Linked DNA regions of Cricetulus griseus. The protein of the gene in region 1 interacts with the protein of each later gene in a pairwise test. Links are inferred from orthologs where the notes say so. Each region holds a gene or a part of one and is shown in the gene's direction. Other genes may lie near its edges.

What was found.
Region 2: the proteins of Txn2 (region 1) and Scyl3 interact in binary tests that used the Homo sapiens proteins (3 or more experiments, as listed by UniProt). The two-hybrid records come from large-scale screens. The link is inferred for Cricetulus griseus from reciprocal best matches to the Homo sapiens genes TXN2 and SCYL3.
Region 3: the proteins of Txn2 (region 1) and Trim21 interact in binary tests that used the Homo sapiens proteins (3 or more experiments, as listed by UniProt). The two-hybrid records come from large-scale screens. The link is inferred for Cricetulus griseus from reciprocal best matches to the Homo sapiens genes TXN2 and TRIM21.
Region 4: the proteins of Txn2 (region 1) and Rbm45 interact in binary tests that used the Homo sapiens proteins (3 or more experiments, as listed by UniProt). The two-hybrid records come from large-scale screens. The link is inferred for Cricetulus griseus from reciprocal best matches to the Homo sapiens genes TXN2 and RBM45.
Region 5: the proteins of Txn2 (region 1) and Ppcdc interact in binary tests that used the Homo sapiens proteins (3 or more experiments, as listed by UniProt). The two-hybrid records come from large-scale screens. The link is inferred for Cricetulus griseus from reciprocal best matches to the Homo sapiens genes TXN2 and PPCDC.

Annotation. Positions count from the first base shown.
Region 1 is NC_048595.1:375,026,081-375,030,138, reverse strand, and holds the start of Txn2 (thioredoxin, mitochondrial), read left to right. Parts: upstream 1-1,251; 5' UTR 1,252-1,400; intron 1,401-2,256; coding exon 2,257-2,519; intron 2,520-4,058.
Region 2 is NC_048598.1:28,407,952-28,411,972, reverse strand, and holds the start of Scyl3 (protein-associating with the carboxyl-terminal domain of ezrin), read left to right. Parts: upstream 1-1,215; 5' UTR 1,216-1,352; intron 1,353-1,358; exon of another isoform or gene 1,359-1,498; intron 1,499-1,627; exon of another isoform or gene 1,628-1,765; intron 1,766-1,771; exon of another isoform or gene 1,772-1,915; intron 1,916-3,321; 5' UTR 3,322-3,370; coding exon 3,371-3,535; intron 3,536-4,021. UniProt on the Homo sapiens protein: May play a role in regulating cell adhesion/migration complexes in migrating cells.
Region 3 is NC_048596.1:96,824,372-96,827,411, forward strand, and holds part of Trim21 (E3 ubiquitin-protein ligase TRIM21), read left to right. Parts: intron 1-289; coding exon 290-520; intron 521-2,236; coding exon 2,237-2,259; intron 2,260-2,803; coding exon 2,804-2,904; intron 2,905-3,040. UniProt on the Homo sapiens protein: E3 ubiquitin-protein ligase whose activity is dependent on E2 enzymes, UBE2D1, UBE2D2, UBE2E1 and UBE2E2.
Region 4 is NC_048599.1:98,661,888-98,665,977, reverse strand, and holds the start of Rbm45 (RNA-binding protein 45), read left to right. Parts: upstream 1-1,282; 5' UTR 1,283-1,398; coding exon 1,399-1,734; intron 1,735-2,929; coding exon 2,930-3,052; intron 3,053-3,468; coding exon 3,469-3,595; intron 3,596-4,090. UniProt on the Homo sapiens protein: RNA-binding protein with binding specificity for poly(C). May play an important role in neural development.
Region 5 is NC_048597.1:169,065,114-169,069,321, reverse strand, and holds the start of Ppcdc (phosphopantothenoylcysteine decarboxylase), read left to right. Parts: upstream 1-1,404; 5' UTR 1,405-1,500; intron 1,501-1,506; exon of another isoform or gene 1,507-2,021; intron 2,022-2,502; exon of another isoform or gene 2,503-2,646; intron 2,647-3,857; exon of another isoform or gene 3,858-3,920; intron 3,921-4,208. UniProt on the Homo sapiens protein: Catalyzes the decarboxylation of the cysteine moiety of 4-phosphopantothenoylcysteine to form 4'-phosphopantotheine and this reaction forms part of the biosynthesis of coenzyme A.

The DNA of each region.
Region 1 (4,058 bases):
ACCTCAGCAAACCACTAACTAATGAAAGAGTGGGTTGAAATGATGTGGCAGATAGAGTCCTGCCAATTTATCTGCTTCTACTTGGACACACCTTATTGGACACACCTTATAACGGTTTGACAGACACCATTTGCTGAAATGTGCAAAGATCCTCAATTTAGTAAGAATCTACTAAACAGTAAACATCCACTGGCCTCTCTGGGCCGGGTACTGTCCCAGGTTGGTGCTAAGTATATGCAGATGAGTAACAACTGTTATTCTTTTGTTTAAAAAGAAGAAAAGAGAAATATTGAGACAGACATAAGACTATAAGTTTATTATAAGCACAAGTTCCTACTCTGAGAAAGCATAGACTAGAGAAAGCATAGACACTGTAAGGTGCTATGAAGGGTTACAAAGCAAGCACTAGACAGAAGAAAGCAAAACTATTCAGAAGACATGATGGGCAGGTGCTCTAAGTACTGAGAGACAAAAGTTCAACATGAGCAAAGGTGTGGAAGAGGATATGAGCAGCAATGTGTTCCCAGAACCGTAGTATGTAGGAATAGGGTACTTAGACCTCAGTCACTCAAGCCAGTGGAAATGGAGAAAAGCCCCAGGCCCAAGCTTCACAGACGACACTTCACCTTGGGTCTCAAAGGCAAGCCCACTTCCCCAATAATTCCAAAAAGAAGGTTGACGGTTTAGAAGCACCACCAGCCCTTAGGGACAATGACGTTGGGCAGACAAAGCCAGGACAACAAAACAATCCCTTGATGCCCACGTAGGGATGTGTGTGTGTGTGTGTGTGTGTGTCGGGGGTATGTCTCAAGTATTCCCTATGTAGTCAAGGATGACTTTGAAGTCCTGAACCCTCCACCCAGTTTACGTGATACTGAGAATCGAACCCAGGCTTCATGCGTGCGAGGCAAGCGCTCTACCAATTGAGCCACAACCCCAGCCCGGGACAACCTTCCTTTAAACACTAAGTTTCTGCGGAACAGAGCGTGCTTCCCCGGTATTAAGTTGAACACAACATGCCAACCCTTTCCCGAACCACAAGATTCAGGGATGGGCGGTGCCAACAGGGTTCAACGCCCCAGAGATTTGTTCCAAAGCCACTCCTTCCTCTCCGCCCTCCCTCCAACTGCTCTCCCTCTCTCTCACTGGTCCCACCCCTCTTCCGGTCCTTCCTCCAGGAACCCATTCCTTCCGTTCTCCCCCCATCACCCGCCCCCGAACCTTTTTCCGTTATCCTCATTGGTGGAAAATACTGAACCGCCCCCAAGTTGCGAAGATACGCCGTCCGGGTAGTCTTTCCCGGAAATGACGCTAGTCCCGCCCCTGAGGAAGTGACAACAGAGTGCCCTTGACGGGCAGGCCGGCTGGGCTGTACGTCCCTCCGCTCTAGCTGCCGGGAGGTAGGAGCCCCGCGGGGTGGGCTGGGCGGCGCGGGTGGCGCGCTGCTGTGCAAGCCGGCCACAAGCGGAGGGAAGACCCGAGAGGGAGGATCTGGTCTCGGCAGCCGCACGACCTGTGCTCCCGGTCTCTCGTTTCCCTCCGTACACACATCCCCCCTTCTCTGTGGTACCCCATGCCTGGGTTCCCATGCTTCTTAGTTCCTCCTTCCGTAGTTGGGATTCTTCTTTGCTTATCCCTTTTCCCTCCTTAATTTCCCATGGAAACGCATTTTAAAAGAGCGATCGATAGAGTAAAGATTCTACAGATGCCTTGGGTTCCAATTAACTGTCCTTTTAAAACTGGGCTACTTTGGGCATGTCACTTAACCTACCTGAGGCCTGGGTCGTCCTGAATGTGAACGGTGTTAAAACAGTTTCTTCAGAATTGATCTGGGAGAACCAGTCATGAAACACACTTAAGCTTTGTTCCTCCTTCCATCAACCTTTTATAATTCCGCCTAAGCCTTGGTTTCTTTTTTTGGCTGTCAGCCTAGTTTCTGTCTTCTAACACATCTATTCTGTGATCCTCATTCCTCACTCACCTCTAGATATATTGTGGTTGGGGTGTGGAGGTTTTAGAGACAGGGTTTTACTATATAACCCAACTGACCTTGATTTATATTCTCCTGCCTCAGCCTCCCAAATGAGGGCAGGAATGACAAGTCCTGGCCCTCAAAAATTATATTACAGTATTTCCATGCATTTTGCTTCTCACTCTGCATGTTGCCAACACGTCAGTACTTTGAAATACTTTGTTTTCCTGATATGTTGACTTTCTGTTGTGTAGCCCAGCTCTTCCTGCTTCTTTCCCTCACAGATGGCTCAGCGGCTTCTCTTGAGGAGGTTCCTGACCTCAGCCATCCCCAGGAAGCCCCCTCAGAGTGGGTGGACTTCCCTCACCTCTAGAGCCCTGCAGACACCACAGTACAATCCTGGTGGTCTGACAGGAACATTCGGCCCAGCCCGAACATTATACACAACCAGAGTCTGCTCAACAACCTTTAATGTCCAGGATGGACCTGACTTTCAAGACAGAGTTGTCAACAGTGAAACACCAGTTGTTGTGGATTTTCATGCACAGTGAGTACTGGGGGCAGTGAGAGACAGGGGGTCTTACATCGCCCATCAGTGCCCACTGTTGCTCACAGCCTTGTTCAATGCTTCTCATTCATACACCCATTATGAAAACTTTTGAGACCCAGTACCTACCCTTAAGAAGCATGCAGTGAGCTGGGTGTGGTGACGCACGCCTTTAATGCCAGCACTTGGGAGGCAGAGGCAGAGGCAGGCGGATCTCTGTGAGTTCGAGGCCAGCCTGGTCTCCAGAGTGAGTGCCAGGATAGGCTCCAAAGCTACACAGAGAAACCCTGTCTGGAAAAACCAAAAAAAAAAAAGGAAGAAGAAGCATGCAGTGGGGCTGGAGAGATGGCTCAGAGGTTGAGAGCACTGATTCCTCTTCCAGAGGTCCTGAGTTCAATTCCCAGCAACCACATGGTGGCTCACAACCATCTATGAGATCTGGTGCCCTCTGCTAGCATGCAAATGTATATGTAGGCAGAACCCTACATATGTAATAAAAATAAATAAATAAAAAAGAAGCGTGCAGTGTGGTAGGAGACCGATTTACAAATAGTCTGCAGAGCAGACCAGGATGAGTGCTGCATTGTGCCTCTGTCTTGTATCTCGATGCCTGAAAAGCTCATAGTCTTCTCCAGTGTGAAGTAACATTTTGTTTTAACAAAACTGTGGGAAGGGCTGGGCAAAATGTTATCAGTGCCACCATAGTGGGACCCAAGTGTGTATGGGGTGGGCAGGAGGTGTGTTGTCTCAGTACTGTAGGAGTGTGTTTCAGATAAACACCTGCATTTTAGCCTGCTTTTCATTTCCAGATCTTTAGAACTGGTTCAACCAAAAAAACCAACAGACCCCGTAGAACAAAGCATCCCAGAAGAAACTAGTGTGTCTGGTTAACATTTGGAGGTTTTCTAGACACATCTCACAGTCTCTTTGTTTCTTTTGTGGTCCTTTCTCTGACTCACCAAGTTACCTCAGACAGGCCAGTGGGTGTCCTTGTCATCTGAGATAAGGCCTTGCATGCTTATTTATGTTTATTTTCATTTTTTATGTTTATTTGTTGATTGAAATTTCTGAATGCAAGTTTTGGGGGTAAGGATGATGGGTTGAGACAGGTCTCACTGTGTAGCCCATGTCATAGGTCATACTTGAGCCTCTTTTGTCTCTACCTCCTACATATAAGAGATCGGACTGGCATGTGCCGGCTCATAGAAAAAGATAAAACAGAAGCTGGGCGGTGATAGTGCACGTCTGTAATCCCAACCCTCTGGAGGCAGAGGCAGGTGGATCTCTGTGAGTTCGAGGCCAGCCTGGTCTACAGAGTGAGTTCCAGGACAGCTGGAGCTGTTACACAGAGAAACCCTGTCTTAAGAAAAGGATAAAACAGGAGTTGACAGCCAGGGATCTGTGGGAGATAATTACTCCACCCTACTGCTATGGTGGAGGGCTTTTGAAAGGAATGTTCAATGAGCTAACCCTTTTTTCCCCTACAAGGTAGTTGATTGGGTGTTTCAGTGTAGTGATAGTTTGTTTATGATATAACAA
Region 2 (4,021 bases), on another chromosome or scaffold:
ACACACTAACAAAACTTTTATCACCTACATCCAGTTAGGAAAGTCAAATCTGTGTGTCCCCTTTTGCTACAGAGTTAAATGTCCACTGGAGAGAATGATCAGAATCCTTATTAGGGGGGAATGTAAAGTTTACCTGTGGCTTCAAAATAACGGGACTTAATCCAGGGATTTAAGAGTTGATTTATTTAGAGACCTGAGTGAAATCACAGATAGGTAAGTGAGTAGATAAGTAGTGGGAAGGATATTAGTTTAAGGTGTGTAACTTTTGTTTATGCTGCATTTGTTAACTCCGTAAAGCTGTGATTCTTTGCCTATCTAAAACACCTGATGGTCTAATAAAGAGCTCAACAACCAGCCAATAGCAAGACACAAACAAGGATAGCAGGCAGATAAAGAGTATAAATAAAAGGAGAAATAGGAAAGAAGAGGAGCAGCAAGAGAGGAGAGGAGGGCCGCAGGGGCCAGCCATCCAGCTACACAGCAATCCACACAGTAAGGGGAAGATTAACAGACGTAAGAAAACAAAAAAAGCCTAGAGGCAAAAGGTAAGAAGAGTAATTTACGTTAAGAAAAGCTGGCTGGAAACAAGCCAAGATAAGGCCAGACATTCATAAGAATAAGACTCCATGTATTATTTTGGGTGCTGGGTGGCAGGCCCCCTAAAAGCCAAGAGTAAAATAATCGCACAACAGGAAAGTAGTGTGTCTTCCAGTTCTCTCATTCATTCAGCAGGAAATTTTCTTGTTAATTTTGGAAGTGTAGATGGCCATCGTGTTTAGGAGAACGGGAAACAGGTTATCCAAGATCCCATCCACAATTGGACTTGGATCAATGATCAAAGAATGAATGAATTGACTCCAGGCTGAAGTCTCAAATCTAAAAATGCCAGAATCACCATGATTTCTGACAACTTCACCAGTGGTTCAAAAAAAAAAAAAAAAAAAAAAAAAATCTTCCCAGGTAGCTCGGCCAATCACGTGTCCAGGAAGCGGAGAGTCACTACCGGAAAAGTTCTGTCTCAGCACCAAACTCCTCCTTTTGTCCCGCCCCTTTACTACCGTACTTGTCTGAAGCCAGAGGCGTCCATTTTGGATTCGGGCGGAAATGAAGTCAAAACCGGCCGGTTAAAAACCCAAACATTAAAACTAGGACACCTGTGCAATCGAGCTGAAAGCACACGCCGACGGGTTTCTCTGCAGCGGGAGCCGGCGGCTGGGGGCCGGCGTGAGACGCAGGCTTCCCTGGCGCCCACACCTGCAGATGACACCGGCCTGAGCATCACCTGTGCGGCCGCTCTAGCTCGGTTCCGGGTTCGCGCGCCTCGGTGGTGGCGTAGGAGGAACTGAAGGCCGGTGTGTTGACCCGTTTCCGGGCCCTTGTGGTGCGGTCTGAGCCGGGTCCTCGGGAGGCATAGGGTGCAGGGGCCTAGGTCTGAGTGTCCGAGCCGGCCGCGGGCCAAGAGGGAGCAGAGCCGCCAGCCTCCTCCCGCCGCCCGCAGGTAACCGGGGGCCGAGCGGCCTGGCCCGGGCGGCTGCGCAGGGTGGGAGCGGGGTCGCCGCTCGCGGGGAGCGCTGGCGCGGCCGGTTCGTTGAGCGCTGGCTGCTCCGGCTGGTTCGGGGTCCCCTCTCTCTGGCTTCTCGGGTGACCCCTGCCGTCGCGGCCGAGGCCGGGGGACAGCGAAGAGGCCCGGCCGGGAATCCAGCGGGAAGGTCGCGCGATGCAAGGGTCCCAGGCAGCGCCAAACCCCCGGGGCCTCATGCGTAGAGTAAGGATAACATACACGTGTCTCCCAAAGTGGTTTTTGCTGAATTTGGGGATCACGGTTGCCGCTGGCTTGAGGGGCTGGAGTGTATCCTGAGCTGAGGTCAGACGAAGTACTTTTAGTCCCGACTACATGATAGCCAGCACTGTGGGGGTGAGTTCTTGACCAACACCATGCAAGGCTGAAACACATCAAAGCACAGGGCTGCTACTGAGGTTTACCACCCAGTAGCTAAGTGCCACGAGTAAGGCATATCCTTCGCACTCTCGGGGCAAGCCCAAAGCTTTGGCACTTTGAAGCTAAGGGATATGGAGCCAAGAGAATCTCTACTAATTGTTGGGAGAATACATAACAGGGACATACTTCCCCTCTTTCCCTTTCCTCCCTCCAATCAATCCACCTCCCCATTGTTGTGTCAAATTCCTGGTGTCTTTTTCTGTTATGAGTGTGTATTCCTAAATACAGAACTACAATCTGCTCAGTCTGTACAATGTTACCTGCATCTCTCTGATCTCGGGCGAGCCACTTGGTATTGGATACCCAATTGGGAACTCTTCCCTTTGGAAGAACACTTAGCTGGTTCTCAGCATTCCCCAGCTGCCTGTGGTTCTTTGGCTAGGGAGGGTTGTGTGAGCTTTCATGTGAGCTTTCGTGTGAGCATGTCCATTAGTGTCCTCATTGTCTTATTTAGGCAGCCATGCTAATGAAACTGGATGGTATCCTTCTTTGACTTTCTAGGAGATATAATCTCACAGCAAACTTCCTGCTCCTCTGGTTTTTACAACCCTCTCTTCAATAATCCCCAAGCCTAAGAAAGATAAATTGCTAGGTATGTCAAAGCTCAGTGCATTTGCTAAAGAGCAAAGTTTGTTGTCACCTACAGACATTCTTAGATTTCTGTAGCTTTTTGCCATAGTGCATTTTGTGTTCCTCATACAGTAATGTGTGTGCATCTGTACACATTTTAAATTCTGTGATAGGCTTGTATTCTAGGCATCATTACATAATAACAAATTATTCTGTAGCTCTTCAAGTGGGAGGGAAATCTAAGACATGTGTCATGATTATTAGGTTTGTATTTATACAAAGACTACTTTTGGGGGACTGGGGGTTCAAAACAGGGATTCTGTGTGGAACCCTAACTGTCCTAGAACTCACTTTGTAAATCAGGCTAACCTTGAACTCAGAGATCCACCTGACTCTGCCTCCCAAGTGTTGAGATTAAAGGCATGTGCCACCACTGCTGTCACCTCCAGCAGCACTGTCTAAGACTACTTATGTTTAACTGAAAAGTTTTACAAGCCTTTATAAAATTTATGTGTGATTAGGTTTGGAAGGAAGTCCATGTGGCTATTTGGTAACACACAATTTCTCTGGAGTTGTTAGTTGTTTATTAACAAGGATTCCTGATAACTTGCTGTTCGTTGACTGTATTATTGAATGCAATTGTTGGCACTGCAGGAATGATGAATAAGTCCCAGTGGGCACTTTGGGGTAAGCTGGATAGCCACCTGGCTTCTATTTGCTTGATGTTCTCATTTGTCTCTGCTGTGTTGCAGATCTGTTTGACTTGAGGAGGAGCTGCAGTACGGCCTCACTACAGGAGGGATGGGATCAGAGAACAGTGCTTTAAAGAGCTATACACTGAGAGAACCACCATTCACCTTGCCCTCTGGACTTGCTGTTTACCCCGCCATACTGCAAGATGGGAAATGCGCCTCGGTGTTTGTATATAAGAGAGAAAATGAAGACAAGGTTAACAAAGCTGCCAAGGTACTGTGATGGGTTTGTCTTCATAGGGCTTTTAATTATGAGTTTTCCCCTCAAATGAAGTTCATTTGAGGGCAATATGGTCACAAGCAGTGGTATTTTATTACCCGGTGTCACATAAAAACAGTTGTCTGTCTCTAACAAACCATCCCAGCAGCCAAAGATTTCACAAAACTCCTTGTGATCGCTTTTATCACAGTGCTTTTAACCAGAAAGATAGGCAGGTGGTTTCATACTGCTAATCTAAGAGATGGGATTCATCTAGTTTAACAAAAATGCTGCTTATTGATATTTTAATTAGTGTGTAGGTATGCTTGAAAATAAAGTATTTTAGGAATTTATATTATCTTTCTTGCCCTGAAACACTGTAATGTGACAGAATTTTCAAAAATATTTTATTTGTATCCTTTGTGTATGAATATTTTGCCTGCATGAATGTAATGGGCCATGTGTTTTCATTTGGTAGCCAGGGAAGTCAGAAGAGAGCAT
Region 3 (3,040 bases), on another chromosome or scaffold:
GAAGGAGAACACAGGGACTCACATAGGCATTACTGGGTTTTGGAAGAAAAGTTGAGAAGATGTTGGTGCCAGAAGTTGCTGTGTGCCACTTAAACAATGCTGTTTGCTAGAGGCCAGCCGTGTGCACACTGGAGAGCGCACATTGTTGTGGGTGTGTGCGCGCACCTATTCCCAGACATAAACAGAGGGATGAGTGACCAGGGAACAGAAACGCCTCTGCCACCAAAGCCTAGGAAATTTTTATTAAAACTAAAAATGCAAAACTCCTGTCTTGCCCTTGCCACCTCAGAGAAACGTGGACATACAAAAGTCGAGGATTCACTCGGAGTTTGTACATCAGAATAGCTTGCTGGCCAAGGAAGAGCAGAGGCAGCTACAGAAACTGGAGAAGGATGAGAGGGAGCACCTGAAATTCCTGGGGGAGAAGGAGGCTGAGCTAGCTGAGAAGAACCAGGCCCTGCAGGAGTTGATCGCAGAGCTGGAGAGGAGGAGCCGGGGCTCCCAGCTGGAGCTACTGCAGGTGAGACCCATGCACAGGCACCAGGAGTAACTGGGAGAAAACCAGAACTCTCTGGAATGGCTCCTAATGCAAGTGCTGCCTTAATCTTTGGGACATTCTTAAATAAACAGAAATGTGGACCCAGGAGTGGCTTCCATTGCAGAACAACAGGGTATAGATACAAGAGAACATGCTCCAAGTAGTAGCCAATAGATGGACATCCCCGGTAGTGCCAGGTGTGGGAGCTGGAGCATGACACTTAGCACACGTCACCAGGATATATGGATATATATATATATATATATATATATATATATATTATATATAAATATTTACATATCTCAAGTGGTTTTCTTTTTTAAGGAATTAAATGAGAACATCCATTCTGGTGCTTAGACAAGTAGCCATAAGAATGTTTTTGAAAGTATAATTTCCAAAACTGAGTTGTGTCATTTCTCTCCATAGTGATAGGTTATGGGACTGTTTTTCTTTCCTATAGTCAGTGTCTCCACTGATGAAGCCATAAGGGGAGTGGATGCAGGAAAGTGTGCCTAACATTAGTCGTAGTTGGATTTTAATACTTCCTGGATTCCTGAGAGCTCCCTACATGATTTTTAATTTGTTCTGCTTCTGCAAATAGTCTCACTCTTTCCCCAAAATAAATTTAGCTTTAAAATAATTTTTGCCAAGGCATGATAACTAAGAAATTACATATTGGTGCTACTGTTTTTTCTAATTTTTTCCCGTAATGATAACTGCAGATTCCTAAACAGCACACAGATGACTTACCATGGTTCAGGTAAGTGCTACTGTGATCCAAGTCCATGGGTGAGAAAACTAAGGAGCAGAGACATTAAGAGACTTAGTGAGAGAGTCAAGCTAAATGACGTCAGTTTATCTAAGTAGTAAGAGACAAAAAAATAAGATGAAACACGTACATCATTATTTTTAAAATCCGTGTGTATTCTAAAGCCATCTTGCATCCACCCATGATATGTTAGCCCCACCCCACGTTGGAAGACTATGGTCTAGATGATCTCTGTGCTTCTTTTCTCACACCTCCGTCCCTGTCTCTCAGATAAACATTTCCTTGAGTGTTTGTTCAGAAAAGCTGATTATATTGGTTTGGCTTGGAAGGCTTTCCCTTGCTTTTCCCTTTCCTATCCCTGAACTGGCTCCCTAGTGCCTTTTGACTGAGCCTAGAAGGTTGCCAGTTCCAACATTATGGGAAGGAATATTCTCACTTAAGCTCACTCTAAATAAGGCAGAGGATTAACCACAGCACAGGACAAAGCTTTCAACCAACTAACCCTTTCTCCCCAAACTATTCAATCCCATAAATGGCAAGGAGCCTTTCTGGATATCCTACCTCAGCAGGAAGGATATCCTTCCTGCAACTGCCTCTGGGCTTCAGTCAGGTTGTGTTATTTATTTTCCTCTTCTACTGTCTCCATGGTAAACCCCCCTCCTCCAAGAACCTAGCCCTTCTAATTTGTTTTCTCAATCAGTCTGTAAAGCCCTGGTCATATCCTAGCTACAGGCCATATCCATGTTAGCTTCCTAGATATTCTAAGAGCAGCCATGAGTCCTTTCTGCTAAGAACTAGTCAGAATTGTCTGTGGCCCAAGGAAAGGCTGCAGAGCAGGGCCCAGAGGAAACATGGGTGATGTCACATGACCCTGGGAATTCTGTCAATCAGAAACTCCAGAATTGACTCTGTGTCTCTTCTCTCCTCAGGAGGTGACAATTGTCCTGGAAAGGTAAGGAGAGGTTTCCTCAGTTAGAAAAGGGAACGGGAAGTATGTGTGCATAGAAATGGTTACTGAGTTAGGCACACATGTATTGGGAGTTTTCCCCATGCACCCTATTCTCAGAAACCTGGTCCTCTCTAAATTGTTCTCTGGCCTCAAAAGGCTAATGGGCATCTCACTTGGTGGATTGCCTGATGTAGTTAGACTATATCATCTTTATAAAGTCCCCACGCCAAAAAAAGGTAATCTGAGTCTGCTAGGACTCCCCAGGTTCTTCACAGAACTCACCCTATTAGATGGTTGCCTGAAAACTAAATGGAATCCACTTAGTAGTGACCTCTAGCTTTGGGAAGAGGTGGAGGTTTATTTGAGTTTCCTAGAACGTGGAACTCTGAAACTATTTTTTTTTCCTTTCACATAGACAGTGAATTCATGAGTATTTGTAAGTTTGTATTGAATGTGATTATCAAAGTCAGTCCATGAAGAATGTCATTAGGACCTAGAGTAGAAGACAGGAGTGCCAAGTAAGATTCTCAAACTCTTTTTTCCCTAGGAGTAGATCCTTGAACCTGGAATCATTAGATGTTACCTCCCCGGACCTGACAAATGCATGCCATGTGCCAGGGCGGAAGAAGATGCTGAGGACATGTTGGGGTGAGGTGACTTCTAGGAACTGTGGGCTGGAATAGAAGGGGATAATAAGGGTGCAGAGTAGACGGTCATGGAGAGCACAGGATGGTAGCATGTGGAAGAGGTGTCAAGAGAATGTAAGTGTAGTACAGACACACAG
Region 4 (4,090 bases), on another chromosome or scaffold:
GAGGGTGGCCTCTGGGCCTGGTTCTGTTACTTGAGCCTCTTAACTTTGGGCCTAAGATTCCTCATCTCTAAAGAATGAGGCTAGGATCTCATGCCTTACAGGCTCCTTTCAGCTGTCAGGCTCTATAGTTTTAACTGTCTTAGTCAGGTTTGCATTGCTGTAAAGAGACACCATGACCATGGCAACTCTTATAAAAGAAAGCATTTAATTGGGTCTTGCTTATTGTTTCAGAGGGTTTGTCCATTGTCATCATGGTGGGAAGCATGGCTGCAGACAAGTAGATATGGCTTGGGCTTCTGAAACTCCCAAAGCCCACCCCAAGTGACATACTTCCTCCAACAAGGCCACATCCACTCAGATAAGGCTACACCTCCTCTCCAATAGCAGCACTCCTTAATGACCAAACATTCAAACATAAGAGCCTATGGGGGTCATTTCTATTCAAACCGCCACAAATTCTGTCTATAGTGACTCTAAATTGAGCTTATGGTCAAAATGGTGACAAGGACTCCCTGTTGTCATCAAAACTTCAAACTCCCCCAAGTCTTCTGTTTGACTTTTCCAAACTTCCATGTCTCTGATAAATCAGGGCAGTGACGCCTCACTGCTATTAATATCTGTCACTCTGGCCTGCCTGCAACATGAATTCTGTGAAGCAGATCTATCAAGAGTCCCTCTTATCCCCTCCCATTTCAGTAATTTTTCATTTAATGACTTTCATACTACCCTGTCATAAATATTCACTTCTCTTACGGGAACCAAGTCCAGTATCTCTCCTTTGCTCCAAGAGCCATTGCACTGGCCCTTTGTTCCTGTCACCATGAACCCTTAAGAGTGAAGTCTGCCAATTTTTTATTTATTTTTGGTTTGGTGTTTTTGTTGTTGTTTGTTTTCTTTTTGAAAATAGAGTGTTGCCCAGATGCTGGCCTCGAACTCACTATGTAGCCCGTGAGGCCTCCAATGTAGCAATCTGACAGACTGGGATAACAGGCATGTGTCACCGCATCATCCAGTTTATCTTTTAAAAGGGTGAAGAGTAATCGTTTTGTAACAACACATTCTGGGCTTAGAAGAAGCCAGAAACCAGCTTTGGGAAGGCTTGAGCATCTGGCAGGTGGGTCTTTTTGGCAACAGGGCAACCTAGCTTGCACAAACTGATTCTTGGTTTCCATGGGACTGAGATTTGGGACTGCTCAGAGTCCCCCGCGGCGCCAGGGGGCGCTGCGGAATGCTCCCGGAAGCCAGCCTCGCTCTCTGTGGGACAGCACCTGCCTCCGGGCTCTGGGCTTTCCGGAAGCGGAGCTGTGGACCCGCGGCCGCGGCGGCCGGCTGGTTGGCGGCCGGGCTGACTGAGCCGGCGGAGCCCCGCGCCTGGCTCCCTCCCCAAGGTGGAGCACCATGGAGGACTCCAGCAGCTCCGCGGGCAGCGGAGGCTTCCGCCCCGGCGTGGACAGCCTGGACGAGCCGCCCAACAGCCGCATCTTCCTGGTGATCAGCAAGTACACGTCCGAATCGGTGCTGAGGGAGCGCTTCTCGCCCTTTGGAGACATCCAGGACATCTGGGTGGTGCGCGACAAACACACCAAGGAGTCCAAGGGCGTCGCCTTCGTCAAGTTCGCCCGAAGCTCACAGGCCTGCCGGGCTATGGAGGAGATGCACGGACAGTGCCTTGGCCCCAATGACACCAAGCCCATCAAGGTGCTGCACTGGGGTGCCTACGTTAGGGTGTGTGAGGTAGAGATGCTCGGTTTGGGGGGTCTTGGGTGACGGTACCCGGGTTGGGGTAGCTGGGGTAGGGATGCCCGGGTCAGAGTGTCTGGGATAAGGGTGCCCGGGTTGGGGTTGTCTCGGGTAGAGGTGCCAGGGGTTGGGGTGTCAGCGGAGGCTAAGACGGTGTGGGTTAGGGTCTCTTCCCGCACCTTTGCTGCACCCGGGATGATGTGTATCAGGTAGTAAAGGAGTTGGAATCTGCTCCCAGGAGCTCTCCCAGGAGGAGAGGAGGAGAGGAACCCCGCCCATGCATGGGTCTGGAATGGCTAGGAGGAGAGGAACCCCGCCCTGTGGCCAAAGGAGCATCTTCCCCTGGGAACAGATTGGGTAGCCACAGCCAAGGACAGCGCAGCCATCCATGGCTGTCACTTACCATAATTCAGTTGACCCCTACCTCTTCCTGTCTATTGGGAGAACGTTTCTGACCCACCTCTCTCGGACACTTTGATTAACCTTTGCTACTAGATAATTTAGTTTTAGTGTTTTTTTTTTTCTCAAGTATTTTATTTTTACAAAGTTCAAGGGATATTACAGTACCAGCCTGTACTCACAAGATTATCAAAGTAAAATTATTTTGTGACAAGCTATGCTACAAACTAGAGAGGGGCAAACGTTTCAGGGGTTGGGGGAGTTCTGGCGTTGGTTTTACAAGAATTGGCTGGGTTGGAGTCTCTCCCACTTCTGCACCAGGATGCTGTGTATCAGATAGGGAAGGAGTTAAACCGTGTGAAAACAAGGCGAACAAGTAGTGATTCATGTCTTGTGTAGATCCAAGCCTTTATCAAAGATTGTAAACAGTTTAAACTCTAAAATTTAGACATCTATGATCTGATGGCTCCTCTGATCTCATTTTCCCCGTGGCCCCTTTTTTTCCTCTAATGTTTGCATTTTCTTGGAGCCTCTCTTGTGTCTTCCTTTGGATACTTAATTCCTGATGCATCGACTAGATTGACTTAGTCATTTATACTAATACCCCAGTTGTTAGTTGCATTTTGGTTTGTTTTTGTTTTATAGTATCTTCTTTTGGGGGGAACAGGGTCTTCCCATGTAGACTATGCTGGCTTTGAACTTAAGATCTGCTTGCCTGACTTCCTGAGTGCAGGGAGTACAGTATAGGAGTACAGTTAACATTATTCTGAGGGCTTTGTATGTTTCTTAGGTTTTCATTGCTCAGTCCCGATCATCAGGAAGTCACAGAGATGTTGAAGATGAAGAACTCACAAGAATCTTCGTTATGATACCAAAGTCCTATACAGAGGAAGACCTACGGGAGAAATTTAAGGTGTGTGTGTTCTTATCACAACTCCATTTTCAACACTGTACAGTTACTAACAACTCGCAGTAGTAGCGAGTGTCCCCTCTGCCCAGACTTCATCCTAAAGTATAGGCTGAGAAAGTAAAGTACAAAGCCAGGGTGTTTTCATTAAAACCACACAGCTAATAGGTGGTGGTGCCAAGATTTAAACCTGCTGTGCCCCCAGAACCTGCCCTGGGTCTTTAAAAATCTCAAAGCACTTCTTGGTTCTCATTTCTCTTGCCTCTCTGTAGAGTGAGTCGCAGGCCTGAGTCAGGCTGGAGCAGGTAAGCTATGTTGACTAATACTTACCATGGCCTGTGCTATGTTGACATTGTACTCATTCACGGAAAGGTTTTTCCTCCAAGTGGTTTTGTCCTAAAATTTGGCTTTAACTCTTGTAGGTGTATGGTGACATCGAGTATTGCAGCATTATTAAAAATAAAGTCACTGGAGAAAGTAAAGGTCTGGGCTACGTGCGATATTTAAAACCATCACAAGCCGCCCAAGCAATAGAAAACTGTGATAGAAGTAAGAGGTTTTTTTTTAAGTTTTGTTTTATGTGTGTGATTGTTGTGCCTGAATGTACATCTGTGTCTCACATGGATGCAGTGCCTACAGAGGCCAGAGGCCAGAGGACGAGATCAGATCTCCTGGAACTGGAGTTACCGGTGGTTGTGAGCCACTGTGTGGGTACTGGGAAGGGAAACGAGGTCCTCTGGAAGAGCAACACATGTTCCTAACCACAGAGCCATCTTTCTGTTTCCAGAAGTGTTTGTTTTTTATCCTTGCTAACGGGCCTTTTGGAAAAGAATTCTCATTATTTTAAATAAAAGGGTCTATTACTAGATTTTTGCTAAAGTTAAGTAAGTAGTGAGTAAATATATGATATTTGAATTATAAATATATGACTGAAGGATGGAAATGTTTTGGACTTATGAACTAGCCATGTGCTGAAGCCATCTTGGTGACTGAGTTGTCAAGATGAACTGAGTTATCACATAAGCAGGGGGCATACTTGGCTTG
Region 5 (4,208 bases), on another chromosome or scaffold:
AATGACCCCTTAGGCTTAGTTGATTCTCTCCCCTACTGTTTTCCCTCTGGAGAGCAGTTGTCACATGCCCTGGTACCCTACAGAGACCCAGGGCTACGCCCTCCCTCTTCTTCCCTTCTCCTGACCCCAGACTTCTTTTTCCCTTCTCTTGGTCCTCTGGAAGTTCCGCGAGGGCTGTGATCCAGCTGCCAGCCTAGCATCCACGATCTGTTGGATGTTACCTCCAATTTCCTGTCCTACTGCCCTTTCCTCTTTCCTGGCTCAGACCTATTGGCCATGCCTGGCGCTGCCCTTGGGAAAGCCTGTTACCAGTGTCTGGCCCAGCTGCTCAGGCCCTGGAATGCTGCATCTCCAGGCAACTATGCACTTTCATGAGGAGGGAACCAGGATGAGAAAGGGGGCTGGGCACAGATGGTTTAATTTGGGGGTGGGAGGAGGGCCCAGTTGGTTCTGGGGATCCTCCTGTCTGTTGCCAGCCAGTGACCTGCTTTTGCATTCTCCTGGTGCCCACTGCCCCTTGTTTCTGAGAGACACACATTATTCCCTAGCTGGCAGTTGACCTGCCTGAGCCAATGTGTCTATCTGTGGTAACTGGATGAACCATAATAAAAGGGATCATTTGACCCTGTCTATTCTGTGTTGCTTGTCTTCATGTGGGTCTTAATGAAGTCTTGATATGGGATGTGAGGCAGGGGTGTAGGGCTGGGTTGAGTGGATCTGTGGCCTGGAATTCTGTGATCATTTCCCTAAAGCAGCCTTGAGTAGGCCATGAAGTACATGCCACAACTACCAGTTAAGAAGAAGAAATAAAGTGCTCTGCTGGCAATGGTAGGACTGGAACACAGGCCCTTCCTCAGCTCCCCTGGGGGATCACCTGAAGCTAATTCAGCAGCCTCCATGCACACAAGTTCTTGAGACCTGTGGTTGCTCCAGCGTGATGAAAACTATTCCAATATGCCGAGTCTTTGCCAAGTGTACTCACTAGGAATGCTGTCTAGATCCTCTGTGCTGGTCACTCCTCAAGATACCTTTCAAGTAACCGTGGGTGCCGTAGCGCGCTCCTTTAATCCCATTATGGCAGAGGCAGGTAGATGTCTGAGTTCCAGACCAGCCAGGGTTAAAAAGAAAAAAATTTTTTTTCCAAGTGACCCCTTCAATGACAAGGCTTTCCTGCTTAGGATTGTGGCTTAGGTCCTGCAGCTTCCTCATTCTTAGCCTCTAATTTTCTGTACTCCTGTTTGTCTCAAGAGCCGAACTGCCTTTTAGAACAGGCGCAGTAAATAGAATTAAGTGCCAGAGTTCTGAACAGGTGCGCGGGGTAATTGGCAAATCACACAACTATGTAGGTCCTGGAGCGAGCTCCGGTGACTACAACTCCCAGAAGGCAGAGTAGACTACGGCTCCCAGAAGGCCATGCGTTCACGTAGCTCTCTCGCGTGCCCTTTAGACTCGGAGGGTAAGGGCGCCTAGATACCGCGATACTTGGGGCGGCTGGCGCGGGTGAGCGGTGGAAGGGGCTGGGAAGTGTTGTCCCGGGGATCGGCGTGGTGTGGCGGTGGGAGAAGCTCCTCAGGCTGTGGGTCCGAGCGAGGGTGGATGTGCGATTATGTGTGTGATGTGGGGCCACCGGCGTGCTCTCGCGCTCAGGGTTGGGGGACAGCAGCCGCACCTGCGCCCGCTGACCTGCGCTATCCTTGAAAGAGGCGCAGCCAGGACACCCACACTCGACGCTTACCTTTGAAAACTGCAGCGTAGGCTGCGTCCTAAGAGATCCAGGAGCGTCCCGATGTGAAAACGGTCTTAAAGTTACATTTATTTTGGATGGGGTGCTGTCACGGCATGCGTGTGGAGATCATACAACTTGTGAGATTCAGTTCCACCGTGTGAGGCTGCAAGCCACCTTACTGAGCCAACTTGCCTCAAGCTATTTTAAATGAATAAACTAGAGAAAGAAAAACCCTGGGAGTGTTTAGTTGCTTAATCCCTAAACGTGCGGAGCGGCATTTAAAAAGTAGAGTGAGGTCAGTTTTTTTTTTTTTTTTTTTTGTCTGAAAAAATTTCCTGATCAAATATTGGAAGCCAGAACTAGCTAATGGGCAGGAGAGAGCCTCGGGAAGTGGTGGGTGCTTGGGAACTGGGGGTTTTGCTCCGAGATGTGTCCTCAGGAGGTACCCAAATGAACTGTAGGAGCTTTGTGCCCAGCGTTTTGAATGAGAACGAGCGTTCCTTGCTTTTCCTAACACCTTAAAAGGGGTTTAGGTGCCGGGCGGTATGGGTTTTGGTGTAGGGTGGTTACATTTTTCTGGCTACATCCTTGCCCATTTTGTTACTGGCAGATATCCATGAAACTGAAACTTCAGTTTGACCTTGATTAAACAGAAGATTGATAAGGCACACGCTGAGGCCCTTTTCTCGGTGTGTGTGTGTGTGTGTGTGTGTGTGTTCTCACTGTCTTAAATTCTCTTTCTCTTTTACTTTTTTTTCCCTTTCCCTTCATGACAGGGTCTCTCAGTGTATCCCCGGCTAGCCCAGAACTCACTGTGTAGACCACACTAATCTTGAATTCATGGAAAACTGCCTACTTGTTCACCTGTGCTGGGATTAAAGGCATGTGCCATCACACCCCACTTTTTCTTACACATAAGAGTAAGTTTAAGTTCTGTGGTTATAATACAAGTCAAATAAGAATAGGAAAAACGCGTTTTCTGCACATGCTGCTTTAAGACTGGTCTAGCAATAAGCTGTAGACCTCACATTGGGAATATAGGCGTCTTCCTGTACCTGCACTTCAGTCTGTGAGGAGTGGAAAGAAAAATTAACCCTGAGTTCAAGGATAGCCACGAGAAACTCAAGTTTGACTCCGGAGGTTTAAAGGGAACACTGAATCATATGATAAAACAAGCTTGTCTTTTGAGTCTTTTTCCCGGGAGGTCAGTAGTGGTGGGAGAGAATTAGATATTACAATGTTCAGCTCCTGGACATGCCTGGACAAGCATGATGTAGAGGTCAGGGAACACAGACATGTACTGACTTGTCTGTTCAAACCAGTGAGCTCCATGTATAGGGAGGAGAGCTAGCTGTCCTGACTGCTGGAGAACCTGTGCTGCAGAGCATCAGGAGGTGCAGCATCCACCAGCTAGGAAGAAACACAATTGTGAGCCATTTTAAAGTGTAGAAAACAGCTTCTCTCTTATTGCTGTGGTTTGGAGGTTAGGTTTATTATGAAAGCAAAGGGTCCTCCCATCTTTCTGAAGGATGGAGAAAGTGCAGTGTCCTGGCTGTGGTTCTCCTACATGGCTCGGTGCCCCTGTCCCCCGAGCTCAGGAGGAATCATGACTTTTCAGTCACGGCCTGCTGCCTGCTTGTCCACTCTCCTGGACTGCTCACAGTTCCTGTTAGTGGCAGGGGTAGGGAATCGAGGTGCTGCCTATAGTCACCCTGACTGTCAATAAATGAAAATTCCAAAAATCTTTAATAGGATCTGGGTGGAGGAAGAGACTGAATTGGCTTGGAATTTGATCTTGGAGAGCAAACTCTGACCAGCTCTCACTTCCCCTGGGACTCTCAGGTTGAACATATTTGACCTCGATTCCAAATATTGGTTAAATAATCTAGTTTCTATTCTTCAACTATAAATCAGTCTCCCTCTTTCCCCAACCTTCCCCCCCCCCCAGAAGAATGGCTTTGGTCCTGAGCAAAACTTGGTTACAGATCAAGCATCGTATCTTGGGTTGGAATAAGCAGCGCAGAGTCCTGCCTCCAGTTTGATTGACAGCTTTCTGTAACATGACCCGTGGGAATTTTATCTTCTTGAGGTTCAGGGACTGCAGGGATGAAGCTGTGCTTCTGTTTTGCAGGACTCTCCCTGTTTTGCACCATTTGACTGAAGTAGGACAGGGTCAAGGTTTGAGGACTGACAGGTAAGTTTTGCTGGAGAATCAAGAATATGTTTCTCAGGGAACTGGAGAGATGGTTCAGTGGTTAAGAGCATGTGCTGCTCTTGTAGGGGAGCCGAGTTCCATTCCTATTACCTGTGCACACCCGTGCCGGGCAGCTCACAACTGCCCCAAGCTCCAACTCAAAGGTGATGGGATGCCTTTGGCCTCAGAGCATCTGCACTCAAGTGCACATGGTCACCTGCAGGCACATAATTAAAAATAAAATAATTAAACAACAAAAACCAAAACGCATCTCTCACCTACTAGTGA